Linked DNA regions of Oryzias latipes. The protein of the gene in region 1 interacts with the protein of each later gene in a pairwise test. Links are inferred from orthologs where the notes say so. Each region holds a gene or a part of one and is shown on either strand. Other genes may lie near its edges.

Region 1 (6,202 bases):
TGAAGCATGTTTTTGGACGGTGGGAAGAAGCCGGAGTCCCCAAAGAGAACCCACGCATGCACGGGGAGAACATGCAAACTCCACACAGAAAGGTCCCCATTGATGTTCTGTTTCAGGTCCCCCAGCAAGAAAGCCCCTGGACTTGAACCAGGGGCCTTCTTGCTGTGAGGCAAGAGCGCTGTTTGTATTTATATAGCCCAATATTACAACAAAGTTGCTTCAACTGGCTTCACAATTGTAAAAAGCATAAAATCAGTTGTAAAATACAATGTCTGATTGCTAAACTAAACTGGGCATCCCTGCCCTCAGACCCTCCTTCTCTGTAAGAAAAAACTCCTAAAAAAAAAAAAAAAACATTCGTGGAAAAAAATAGAAAGAAAACCTCAGGCATGTTCCCTTTGACAGGGGGATCCTCTCCCAGGATGGACAGGCGATGAACCAGGACTGTTAAAGAAGAAATAGCTCATCTAACTCTACAACTACCGTACATGTTTGAATAGTGTAGCAAATAGGCTTCATCCAGATGGTACTGGGGGACGGCTGGGAGCGCGAAACGAGCCAGAGGCGAGGTCCAAGGACAGGAGCAAAGACGGGCCAACTGGAATCTGAAATGGGAAAGAGGGACAACACATTAATCACACTGCACCAAACAGAGGCATGGAGAACTAGATGATAAATATATAATCAAAAATAGAGGAGAGGAGAAGTAGATGAGAATCGAGGACAGAATCCCAGTGCACCATACTTTTTCCAGCTTCTAACTTCTAGGAGCCTGCTAGCAACTAATTGCTATTGAAATTTAATTAAAACATGTTAATAGTAAGTTCCATGGCACATATAGCAGATGGGAATAATAATAGAAAATCTACATTTTTAGTATGTCAACTTTGCTTAACTCGGTGGCCTTGTGGAAGAGTGTCTGTCCTGAGACAGAAGTCAAGAGTTCAAATCATAACAAAGTCTCCAAAAAAGGGACACAACATTTGACACTCAGCATTAAGAGGTTGGATTGGGGGGTTCAGCAATCAATGGTGGCCGTGTGTGCAGCTCATTGCTCCCCCAGGTGATGGGTCACATGCAGTGAAGCAGTACAATACCAGGTTATAACAACTAAAAAAATATGTGAAAGGAATACACACCCTACATACAAAACGTCCGATCTGAAAAAAATCTCTTTTTTTCAAGAAACACGGAGATTGTTTCAAATATTCCAGTCAGTGCTGGAATATTTTCTATATTTCTATTTAATATTTCTCAAAAAAGGGCAGGATTGTCTTGAAAGTTCACTTTAAATATGGAGTTATTCTTGTTCTCACCATTTAAGGCAGGCATGTCCAAAGTCTGGCCGGTCCAAGGTGGGTTCAGAAACCTGTCAAAGGTTTCTTTCTAGATCTCTACAAAGTCTGGCCAAATGCAGCCCTCCTGAAAGCCTCTTCTAGCCTGCTGGTACCTTTTATAAAAATAAATGTGCTCCCAGGAAACTGTGTATGATTTCTTGATTATGATTGCCTACTTTATAAACCATTTTAAACCTATGGCAACACTATGATGTGACCCTTTTGCAATACCTTTTAGCTCATTTCTAAAATGTCGACTGTAAATTTAACAAATGTTGACAATTGGGGGTCGCTGCTTTCAGGACAAGTAGAAATTTGTGTATTTTTTTCAGTAAGATACTAAACATGCAAGAGGCTGGATGTTTTCAAGAAATTCAATATCAAGAGGGACTACAAGACAAGACATCCCAACTATGCCAAGCTAACTAGGAAAGAATGGTGCATGGTTTTCACATGTGAAATTCACTGTCATTTTGTTAAAGATTTATTAAGCTCTTCTTTTGTTCTATGTGTAGAAAATACAATTAATATGCAATAAGCATTTCCCTTAAACAGTTCATGTGCATTTAATGTTATAAGGGTTCAAAGAATGCAGGTTGAATGGTTGGTCCTCACAAATGTTCACCTCACAAAATCTAATTCTCTTTGCAAAAAGTCAAATCTAAAAATTTGCAGATTGGATCTTTTGTATTTTGGTTATCAAGTTTGGTTTTTGATGTTTAATCATCACTATTTACAGGTAACAACCATTCATTTTAAAAGTAAAAATAAAAAAGCAATATTGTGGATGTTTTTTTAAATTTACAATATATTCTGATTCTTTTGTGGGAGTCAAACTTTTTGAAATTTTACATAAATTGTTAGCCTCCAGCAATATTTAAAAGTAGGCTAATATTTCCTAATAATGCCATAAAAATGTTGTTTAACTACGGTTTTAAAAGGGGTTTACGTGGATCAACACTAGCTTTATGCGTCTTTTTTTTTAGTTTTATGCATCTGACACATGATTACAATGGGGCGGTGAAAACTGACAGGTACGGTACCTTTAACCAACCGTTCGTGAAAACGCGTCGCTTCAACTAGACTGACAGTAGTCTAGCCAATCAGAGGACGCCTTTTTTCTGTGACGCATTCAGTCAATAATTCCAGCCAGTGAAAAGCTCGAATGGGCGGGGCCACAACCAAGAACATTCCCCAACACAACTACTGATTCTGCCCAGTTCGATCGGCAACGGGAGCGGAAAGAGGAAAGCTGAGAGCCCGAAGGCAGTAGCCCCCACCACCGCCGGCCCACGTTACCATCTAGCACCGGGAAAAATAGCAGAGAGCCGCCGCCGGCAGAAGCCATTACCAACCAGTAACTATGAGCAGCGAGGCCGAGACACAACAACAACCACCGCAGCCTGCTGCCGATGATGCGGAAAGCCCATCCAGCCCGGCAGCTGCAGCTTCCGCGGGGGATAAGAAGGTCATCGGTAAGACTGCCGACTCCACTTAGCTAACTAGATGCTAAACGTGGTTTATGTTGCTGTAAACGAGACAGAAACAGCCGTTGAATTATGTTAATGTAAAATGACCGTTACGATCAACTTTATTAAGTAGTTGGACGTTAAACCGTACGTCGAATTGTGATACCAACTGTCAATATAATTATACATTTTAAAAACTGTCAGTTGGGAACGGTTATTCATTAATAGCGTATCATTCTCATTAACTATGAGATGTCACAAGTTTAGGAAAAATCCACATCTTAGAAATGTAGTAAATAACCACTTAATCCATGATTTTCTGTCTTGGTGGGAAAACATTTGCGAAAAAGAGACGCATGCATCCAAACGGCCGTCACATGGATGATCGTAGGAGTAATTTATGTCAGATCCAGCATGTTTACTACCAGACGTTGCAGACCTTTATCTCTCACCGTTAACCGCCAAAAGTACGAACAAAACCCGAAAAAATGACGAATAAATGTTTTAAACTTGGAAATACCCTGCGTTAGTTCACACTAACAAGTTCACCGGCAACTGACGCTAGCTGCTTACTATCCCTTTGTTCGCACAAGTGTCGAATCCCTGTATTCTCTGTCAAAGCTTAAAGGTGGTTGTTTTCAAGTTTATTTTGTAACTATTAGATATATTCAATAATAAACGCTTTGGGATTTGTATTCAAACCGTCCTAAGCTTTAACTCGATTTTTTTTTTACATTTTCGGTGAGGCCTAATTATTTCACGATAGCTTTCCAGTTGCTAACGATGCTAATGTTAGCCTAGCCAGCTAGCTGGCTGGCTATTTACATGGCTGAAAAGGCCACCCAAAATGTCCGCCGTTACACGATCCGTTTATACGTTACAGTTCTATTCTAGCTCGGTTTAGGTACTAAAAGCGCTTGCTTAAGTAGTTTCGAAGTAACATCTGTAAGATGTTGATGGGTTTATTACGTTGGTTTCCGCTTTTTGGCTATACTCCAACCACATGGTTGTAACTCTTAGCTACACGGCTAAGCTAAGAAGCCAACTCGGCTTGTTTTTCGGTCTGTCCGTGTGCGACCCTACCACGTGTGAACGCTCACGTCGTGAACTGGGCGTCTTAAAATGGGGCAGTAGGTCTTTAATGTCCGAGTTCTCTAAATGCAGTTGCTAAACGCGAGGTTACTTGTTTTGAAGTTTGACGTGTCGTAAGCTCTGTTCCCCGTGTTATCCGCATTCCTTCCACACATTTGCAGTCAATGTAATTGGACTGTTTTCTACCATGGCCGGAGCTTCACACCGGGAGCAGCTGGCGCCAGGCTCTCCTAAGCATCAGCATCTATAATAAGCACGACAGTTGGAAGTTATTTTTAACGTCCACACTATGGCTAGTTTTTTCCTGCACATATCTTATTATGTGCGATGCTTTGACTGTTCCCAATCTATTATCATATTTTCAAAATTTCATTACTGCTATTCTAAAATTACCTTTGCAGCTTAGAGAAGTAATATTGACACTTGATAACTGAGTTGCTCTGTTTTTCATTGCAGCAACAAAAGTCTTGGGTACAGTCAAGTGGTTCAACGTCAGGAATGGATATGGTTTCATCAATAGGTAAATGACCACCTCCAGCGTTCCCAATCCTATTATGATTATTGCTTTGCTAACGTGGCTGACCTGATTATTTTTTCTAGTGGTCTGCATGCACACTGTAACCTGCAAGACTTCATTAATCCTTGCACTTGTTGGCTTAGTTGCAATCTGTCTTCAGAGGTGTGTTGTCTTAGTAAGTCATGTGTGGTATAACTGAATCTTTTTATTTTTTTCTCTTTTTGTTCAGGAATGACACAAAAGAGGATGTTTTTGTACACCAGGTGACCTATTATTTTCCAAACCTTTTGGAAACTTAAAACATTTTTTTTTTATTTCGACTAATTCACTTTTCAATTGTTGATGATTTCAGACAGCCATAAAGAAGAACAACCCAAGGAAGTATCTTCGCAGTGTTGGGGACGGAGAGACTGTGGAGTTTGATGTAGTTGAGGGAGAGAAGGTAATGTTTTGGGAAGAATTTGGTTATGTTTGCAGGCATGTTGTCAATTTTAAACTTATCTGTTAACAGGGTGCAGAGGCAGCAAATGTCACTGGCCCTGGAGGGGTGGCTGTCCAGGGAAGCAAATACGCTGCTGACAGGAACCGCTACAGGCGTTACCCACGCAGAAGGGGGCCCCCTCGTGGAGGAGAATACCCAGAGAACTACCCAAGTGATGGAGAAGGCGAGCCTGGCAACGGAGTGCGTGACAAAGGAAACAGAGACGGGGGAGAAAGCGCCCCTGAGGGAGAATCGCAGCCACAGCAGCGCAGACCCACTTACCCCAGCAGACGACGCTACCCACCATACTTTGTACGTAGACATTATGGTCGTGGACCCCCGTACACCAATGCACCACGCGGAGAAATGACTGTGGTACGCGGTCACCAGGCTGCTATCCAGAAGTAGGCAACCAGTTGTACCATGACAGTCGAGACACTTGCTCTTCTCCCAACATGCTCCTTGGTAAAGCTCACGTGGTTGTGGTCAAAGTTTGGTGTATCGGGGGTCACGCTATTGTCCGATGGACTTAAATTGGCCGTCTCTTCTTAAAAAAGTGTTCGTGTTGCTTCAATATTTCTGTGCTATACTGAATAATCTGTTTGTTTGAGAAAGCTTTTTTGCTTGATTTGCTCTGTTTTAGGGAGTTGAAGGCGATGAAAACCAGGGAGGTCCAGACCAGGGCAACAAACCAGTGAGGCAGAACTACTACAGAGGCTTCAGACCAAGGTTCACACCCAGGTTTGCACATTGGCTTTGTCCTTGAATGATGGAGAAAAGCTTTCAGTATCAAACCAACATTTAAGTTGGAAAAACCAAAGTCAGTTTTCAGTCAGTTCTTTTCAATCCAGACCTGTATCAACTCGCTGGGATTTGTTTATATATTTTCTTTCTCTGTAAATTCAGAATCATTCCCGGTCCCAGTAAAGTATTTTTGTTCCTCCTAGATATCAATGTCCTTGCTCAAATTTTGGTTTTCCTCTCCTCCTTTTTAGGGGTCCACCCCGTCCCAGACCGGTGCGGGATGGTGAGGAGGACAAGGAGAATCAGGGAGGTGAAGGTGGTCAGAATCAACAGCCCCGTCAGCGGCGCTACCGCCGCAACTTCAACTACCGTCGCAGACGCCAACAGACTGGTGGTAAACCAGGCCAGGAAAGCAAGGATGCCAAGGCAGGAGGTGAACCATCTGCAGAAAAAACGTCCGCTCCCGAGGCCCAGCAGGGTGGGGCTGAGTAGGAAGCAACATGCCCACCGGCAACTACCATCTTTTACCATCGTCCGGGTGAGTGCACCCCCAGGACTGCTC
Region 2 (6,169 bases), on another chromosome or scaffold:
ATTTATTCTTTTTAATATTAAATTGTAAATTGTATTGTATTAAATTTTAAGTATAGAAGCACTGCAAAGTACTCCTGTAAATAAGGAAACAAAAATTAGTAAATGCATCTGCTAATTATTAATTAGTACAGTGTGTGTGTGTGTAGGTGTGCGCTTAAGCGTGTGCATGTATTAGTGTGTTTGTGGGTACGTGTGCATGTGTGTGTGTGTGTGCATATTAGTATGTTTGTATGTTAGTGTGTGTGTTACATCTACGAGTTGTATGGAGAGTCAGTCAGCCATCACATGATGAACTCCTAAATGACCTCTACAACAACAGCGGAGGTTTGGGAGCGGCAGGCTGAGCGCTTTCCCTGTTCTACTGGAGGACTGGAGCCTGAACCTTCGGCAGACAGACGGAGGAGGAGGAGTCAGAAAATGCTTCACCTGCTTCTTTACCTTTACCACAGCTGCAGCAAGTGTAGACGTGTGTAAATCAAAGGAATACTTCTACAAACATCTGGAATGCTCACATCTGGCTCAGGAGCAGCAGCACTCGGACGCAGGTCCTCTTTCTGGAGGCTCGTCATCACTTCCTGAGCTGCTGTCCTGCTGCTCCCGTCGTCTCTGGAACAACAATGGTCGCAAAGATCTGATCTCAGAGAAACACCACAGACTGCTCACAGTCGAAATATTTGGATCAGTGGACTTTGAGACAAATTATTGAATTTTTGATCTGTTGAATCAGAAATGAGTCAGCTTGATGACAGTTTTGTCTCACAACTGCCATCAAAGAAAGAAACACTGGCACAGTTGACGGACATATCGGACACTTCAGTCAGGCATTCTCATTACATGACCCTTCACTCTAATTGTTAAAATAAAGCACCCTAAACTCACTTATTAGCGTGTGACATGCACACTGCAGACAAACTGCAGAGAAACAAATGGCTGCGAGGTCATCTGCCGGCAGAACATTGAACTAGAGAAGGTCAAACATCAGAGCTGCTCCCATTCAAGACACAGATACGCAACTTGATTTGCATTAACCTTTGCTGTGAAATGAGACAATAATCTTTCTTTTTTAACCTCCAGCCATTAAAGCTAAGCTTGTCTTACTGACAAATCCTTATGATATAATATGAACTAACTTACAGTGGTATCAAGTCAATAACATGGAAATTATGGGAGTTTTTTTAGTAACATTTTGCATCATTTCTGGCCTTTTTTCAACAGCAGAATTTCCATCCACATAAGAATGCAAACTTATCTACAGCCACTACCTTTAAAAAGGTTTAGTAAAGATAGATACATAAAAGCTCTTGGTCTATATTTACATGTATGTATATATGTAAAATTCAAATAATTAAATTATATGTGAAATAGTCAAGATAATTACAACATTTATCAGGAATTCATGGTAACATTATCTGTGCTAAATTCACAGAAGCTACTGTGTTCATAAAGAAAAGTTAAAAAAAGAAACTTAAAAAAAAACACCACTAAACTCACCCTTTAGGTCTGAATAATTTCCTTCAAAAATGTGGGGACATAAATCTCTCAAGTTGCTTTTGTGCTTTTGTACTGTCTTTAGGGAAGTCTGACAACAAAGAGACTTTTTTTTTCAAACTGATTCCTTAAAAAAAAAAAAAAAAAGTGCGGTCACAGTCGCAACCGATAGTTTGTAAATTAGCAGATTCAGTCCAAACCGTTACAGAATTTCCTAACTTAGAAAACAGTAGTTTCCATGGTGAACACATTTTTTTATAGAATAGAAAATAATCTTTTTACATATATTTATATATATATATTTAGCAAATTTTCGTGGCTTTGATAAAGGGGTTTAAAAAGCATATAAATTTATCTTAAAAAATGAATTGGCTGTATAGTGGGCGTTGAATGGTTTAAAAACATGTCAGACAGCACCATCTGATGGCAGCAAGACTACAATTTCAATATATATTGTCGCAAAGGATGATGCAATGTTTCTACATGACGGGCCTCTACCGGTTGAGATTGTATTGATATTTCTTATTTAATCAAATTTTATTTCACTTGTATGTGCTGTCGAGTTTATTATAAATAAATAAAGAACTCCCGCCACTAAAGAAGGCAGACAATCTCTAATAAAACATTCACATCGAAGACACAGGGGGGCGCCACTGAAAATGCACTACGTTTTTTAAAAGTGCATCATATTTTTTCAGCTATTTTTTAAAAATGTTTTTCCATTTAATTTTACCATCCTATTTTACCATCATATATAATCAGTTAGTGTTTAGTGTTTAGTAAAGTAAAGTCAACTATTTGATATAAAACTAATGTTTACTGAACTAAGTACTACTTCCGGTTCAGGGGTCATAGTTACGCTAGGTCAATGTGCCCTTCCACACGTGTTGCCGGTGTCTTCTAGAAGCGTTCCTGGTAGTACGTCGGTGCCTGCGTGTTCTTATTTTTCTCTCTTCTTTAAACAGTTTATAGTATCATGCTAAAGTCTCTGGTCCGCGCGGTGGGAGCTGCTGTTCGGCTGTCCTCGGCACCATCCGCTGCTGCACGGGCTCTGCCGCTCAGCTGTCCGACCAACCGCTCTCCTGGTTCGGTTGCATCTCGGCCCTTCACCCGCTCCCTGTGGATGTTGAACAGTAACGGAGCCCCGTCGGGATACAGACCTAAACTGTTCAGCTCAAAAGTACTAAGTCCGTCTGTGTCGTGTGGATGTGGAGGGCTGCACACGGAAGGTAGCTGAACGTCCGCATGTTTTTGTTTCATTTATCTAAAAAAAAAAGAGAACCTGTAAACACAAGTTTGGGTTATTTAAAGCAGCAAAACAGCTTAAGTTGCTTACAAAATTGAAAGACACGTGGCGGTTAATTGGGGTTTTAGACGACACGGCGAGCGTGCTGCATCCTGGTTTAGGAGCTAAAGAGCTGACATCACTTTGGCAGGCAAAGCTTTAGATGATAAACAATCAACTGATGTTTTAACTTGTCGCTTAGCAACAGTACTGCTAATTTCCAGACTTCACAAACTATTTGAATTTTACAGTGACCCGATTTTCCTCATTAAAAGTGCTTGTTTTTATTTCTTTTTTTTTTTTCTTTACTCCTTCCACTCGGCAGAAATTGCTCCTGGAAAACGACACAGGTTTTATAAAGATTTGGCTAAAAACGTCAAAATTATTATTTTTAAAAAAACCCCACTGTGAACGCTTTTACAATCGAGCGGGAGGTGATTGGAGTGGAGCTTTTAACATTTTAAACTAATCACAAGTGAAGAGTCCCTTTATATTTACATCTGTATTTACTCAGTCAGCATTTGTTTTTTTGAATATTCCGCTGGTGTGTTATCCATCAACACTTAAAGATTCTACACGATGTAGGTATTTTGTATGTAATTGTGTAACAATTGTTTCAGATAATGCATTTTATCAAGTTTTTTCACCTCTAACTTGTCACATGTTTAAACATAAAACATTAAGGTTCACTGATAAGTTTTTCCAAATCCCCTCTGCCGAAGCCAATAGTTTACTCATATAAAGTTATGTTGTCATCCCATCCTGTGTGAAATGTGGATTCATGTTTTTTATCAAGTTGTCCATTCTACATCACACAGTTTCACCTAAATCTGTTGTCTTTTTCTCAGGAGACAAAGCGTTTGGTAACTTCCTGTCCGATGAAATCAAAGAGGAAAAGAAGATCCAGAAAAACAAAACCCTTCCTAAGATGTCTGGAGGATGGGAGCTTGAGATGAACGGCACAGAGGCCAAACTCACAAGACACCTTTCTGGTGAAAAGTAAGGCGATGGCTCACTCTCTGAGGACAAAGTGACCGTGTAGGAGTTCCTGCAAAGCAGCTTTTATTTTCTGTCTTCAGAGTGACGGTCACATTCAACGTTAACAACAGCATCCCTCCAAGCTTTGAGGAGGAGGAGGAAGCGCAGCAGCAGCAGAAACCAGCAGAGGAAGAGGTGAAGCTTTCGAATTACCTTCTAGATTTGTGATCTTATCATTTATTTATGCTCACTAGTTGTTGTTTTCCTTTGTAGCCAGAGATTGTATCTACGCCAAACTTTGTTGTTGAAGTAACAAAACAGAATGGGAAGCACACGCTCGTGTTTGACTGTCATTTCCCTGAGGATGAGGTATGAATTAAAACGAAGAAAGAAAGAAAAACTTCTGGATGAAGTGGTTAGGTAAAAAGGTGCCGACTTTATCCAATGTAGATGAGTCATGGTGAGGGGGAGGAGGAGAGCGACATCTTTGCCATCCGGGAGGTCAGCTTTCAGCCAGAGGGAGACTCTGAGTGGAAGGAGACCAGCTACACCCTCAACACAGACTCCCTGGACTGGGTAAGAGCTGCTGTGAACCATGAGCACACGGGGGGTCATGAAGGTGGGATGTTCTCAACTCTGCTGGGTTCTTTTTAGGCGCTGTACGATCATTTGATGGACTTCCTGGCCGACCGCGGCATTGATAACACCTTCACAGACGAGCTCATGGAGCTCAGCACTGCCATAGAGCACCAAGAGTACATCAAGTTCCTGGAAGATCTCCAAAGCTTTGTCAAATGTAACTAATATTTAACTTAACTGTCTGTTCTCCAGATGAAATTTCAAAGGACTAAAGCACTCAAGACTCATGTTTGGCACCCGGCAACAAGAATGTTGCTTGTTTTTCTGTAACTTCAATAGAAATATTTGTCAGCCATAGTGATCATTTAGTTTCTCAGCCTCTATTTTACATCTCATGTCCCCTTTAAATGTGTAAACGTTCAATCAAGACCTGTTCTAAAGCTAATAAAGAGAATTGTCAGTTTTCATTCGAGAATTTGTCACATTCTGAGGTTTTACTTTAGGAAGTTTTTATGTTTATTGAGGAACATTGACATTTTGTTGGTGGCTTAAAAACAAAATAAATACACACAAATTCCACACAGAACCAATTCAAGGTTTTAGATCATAATCATCACCTTACATTTTTCTCAATACAGTAAAACTTGAACAAGTTCAGATGCTTCAAAACTGAAATTATTTGAAAGATTCTTTATAATTTAGAAATGAATAGAACTGTTTAAAGGAAACAAATGGAAAAACAATATTAAACTGTTTATGTGCAATAGAGGTTGATCAAACCTTAAGCTCCTCCTAAGAAGCAACCCCGCCCCCCTTCCTCCCAGCTATTTCCCACGCTACAAATAAGCTCTTTTTCATCTGCTCTTGATTCACAATAAATTAAAAAAGAATCACTCAGAAATGCAATTTTGAGCTTAAGCTTCCTAATGTATGTCCTCCATCAGAGAAATACCACAAGAACATGATAAAAATGGCAAAATGTTTGCATTGGACTGGATCTGAAAAAGCAGACACATTCTGTGCTTGATGTTTGTAATAAAGGCAACACAAAAACACAAGGTTAAACAAGGTTTACAGGTTTCATTTGTGTGAAGGACACCAAAAGGTAAGATCAATACTTGAAAGTGTTGCTATGCCACGAGAGACGGATAAAGTTTATACAAATAGCTCACCAGCCTCTCAAGAAAATAACATTAAATAAAGCAATGGTAACCATGGAAGTGTGTTTGCGTATTAAATTAGGTAAAGCAAAAGTTTCAGTAATCCATAATAGCTATGTGTGTACTCATGTGTGCAACATTTAACACCAACAAAATATTTTAAAAACTGGTTTGAGTCATGGTAAGCACTTTTACTTTACAGTGAGAAGGCCCTGGTTCAAATCCCAGCTGGGTTCTTTCTGTGTGGAGTTTTTCTGTGTGGGTTTTCTTGGGGCACTCCGGCTACCCAGTCCAAAAACAAGGTTCATGGGTTAATTGGTGATTCTGGGTGTGAATGTGTGGCTCTGCAACAGACTGTTCAGGGTGCCCCCCCCCCCCTCACCCATCAGTAGCTGCATTGGCACCAGTCACCTTTTGACACTGAAAAGGGCTCAGCAGGTTCAGAAAATTGATGGATACAGTTGATCAATCTGAACAACATTATGTGGATAAGATGTTTAAACGAAATTTCTGACTGGTACACTAAAACAATGCAGCCCCCCCCCCCCCTGTATTAAATACAGATTAAATTTTTAATTTTTTCAGGTTACTCTTTAAAAAAAATGAAACAAAAAACGATAACATATTGTAACTAAAGCCCTTAAAGAAAAGATCTGTGTTAAGCATTAACACATTATTA

The links.
Region 2: the proteins of ybx1 (region 1) and c1qbp interact in binary tests that used the Homo sapiens proteins (3 or more experiments, as listed by UniProt). The link is inferred for Oryzias latipes from reciprocal best matches to the Homo sapiens genes YBX1 and C1QBP.

The regions. Positions count from the first base shown.
Region 1 is NC_019865.2:7,797,139-7,803,340, forward strand, and holds the start of ybx1 (nuclease-sensitive element-binding protein 1), read left to right. Parts: upstream 1-2,564; 5' UTR 2,565-2,700; coding exon 2,701-2,812; intron 2,813-4,354; coding exon 4,355-4,418; intron 4,419-4,644; coding exon 4,645-4,678; intron 4,679-4,767; coding exon 4,768-4,857; intron 4,858-4,926; coding exon 4,927-5,208; intron 5,209-5,539; coding exon 5,540-5,637; intron 5,638-5,891; coding exon 5,892-6,132; 3' UTR 6,133-6,178; intron 6,179-6,202. UniProt on the Homo sapiens protein: DNA- and RNA-binding protein involved in various processes, such as translational repression, RNA stabilization, mRNA splicing, DNA repair and transcription regulation.
Region 2 is NC_019872.2:21,255,078-21,261,246, forward strand, and holds c1qbp (complement component 1 Q subcomponent-binding protein, mitochondrial), read left to right. Parts: upstream 1-2,333; 5' UTR 2,334-2,464; coding exon 2,465-2,717; intron 2,718-3,621; coding exon 3,622-3,772; intron 3,773-3,852; coding exon 3,853-3,946; intron 3,947-4,024; coding exon 4,025-4,120; intron 4,121-4,201; coding exon 4,202-4,327; intron 4,328-4,405; coding exon 4,406-4,555; 3' UTR 4,556-4,802; downstream 4,803-6,169.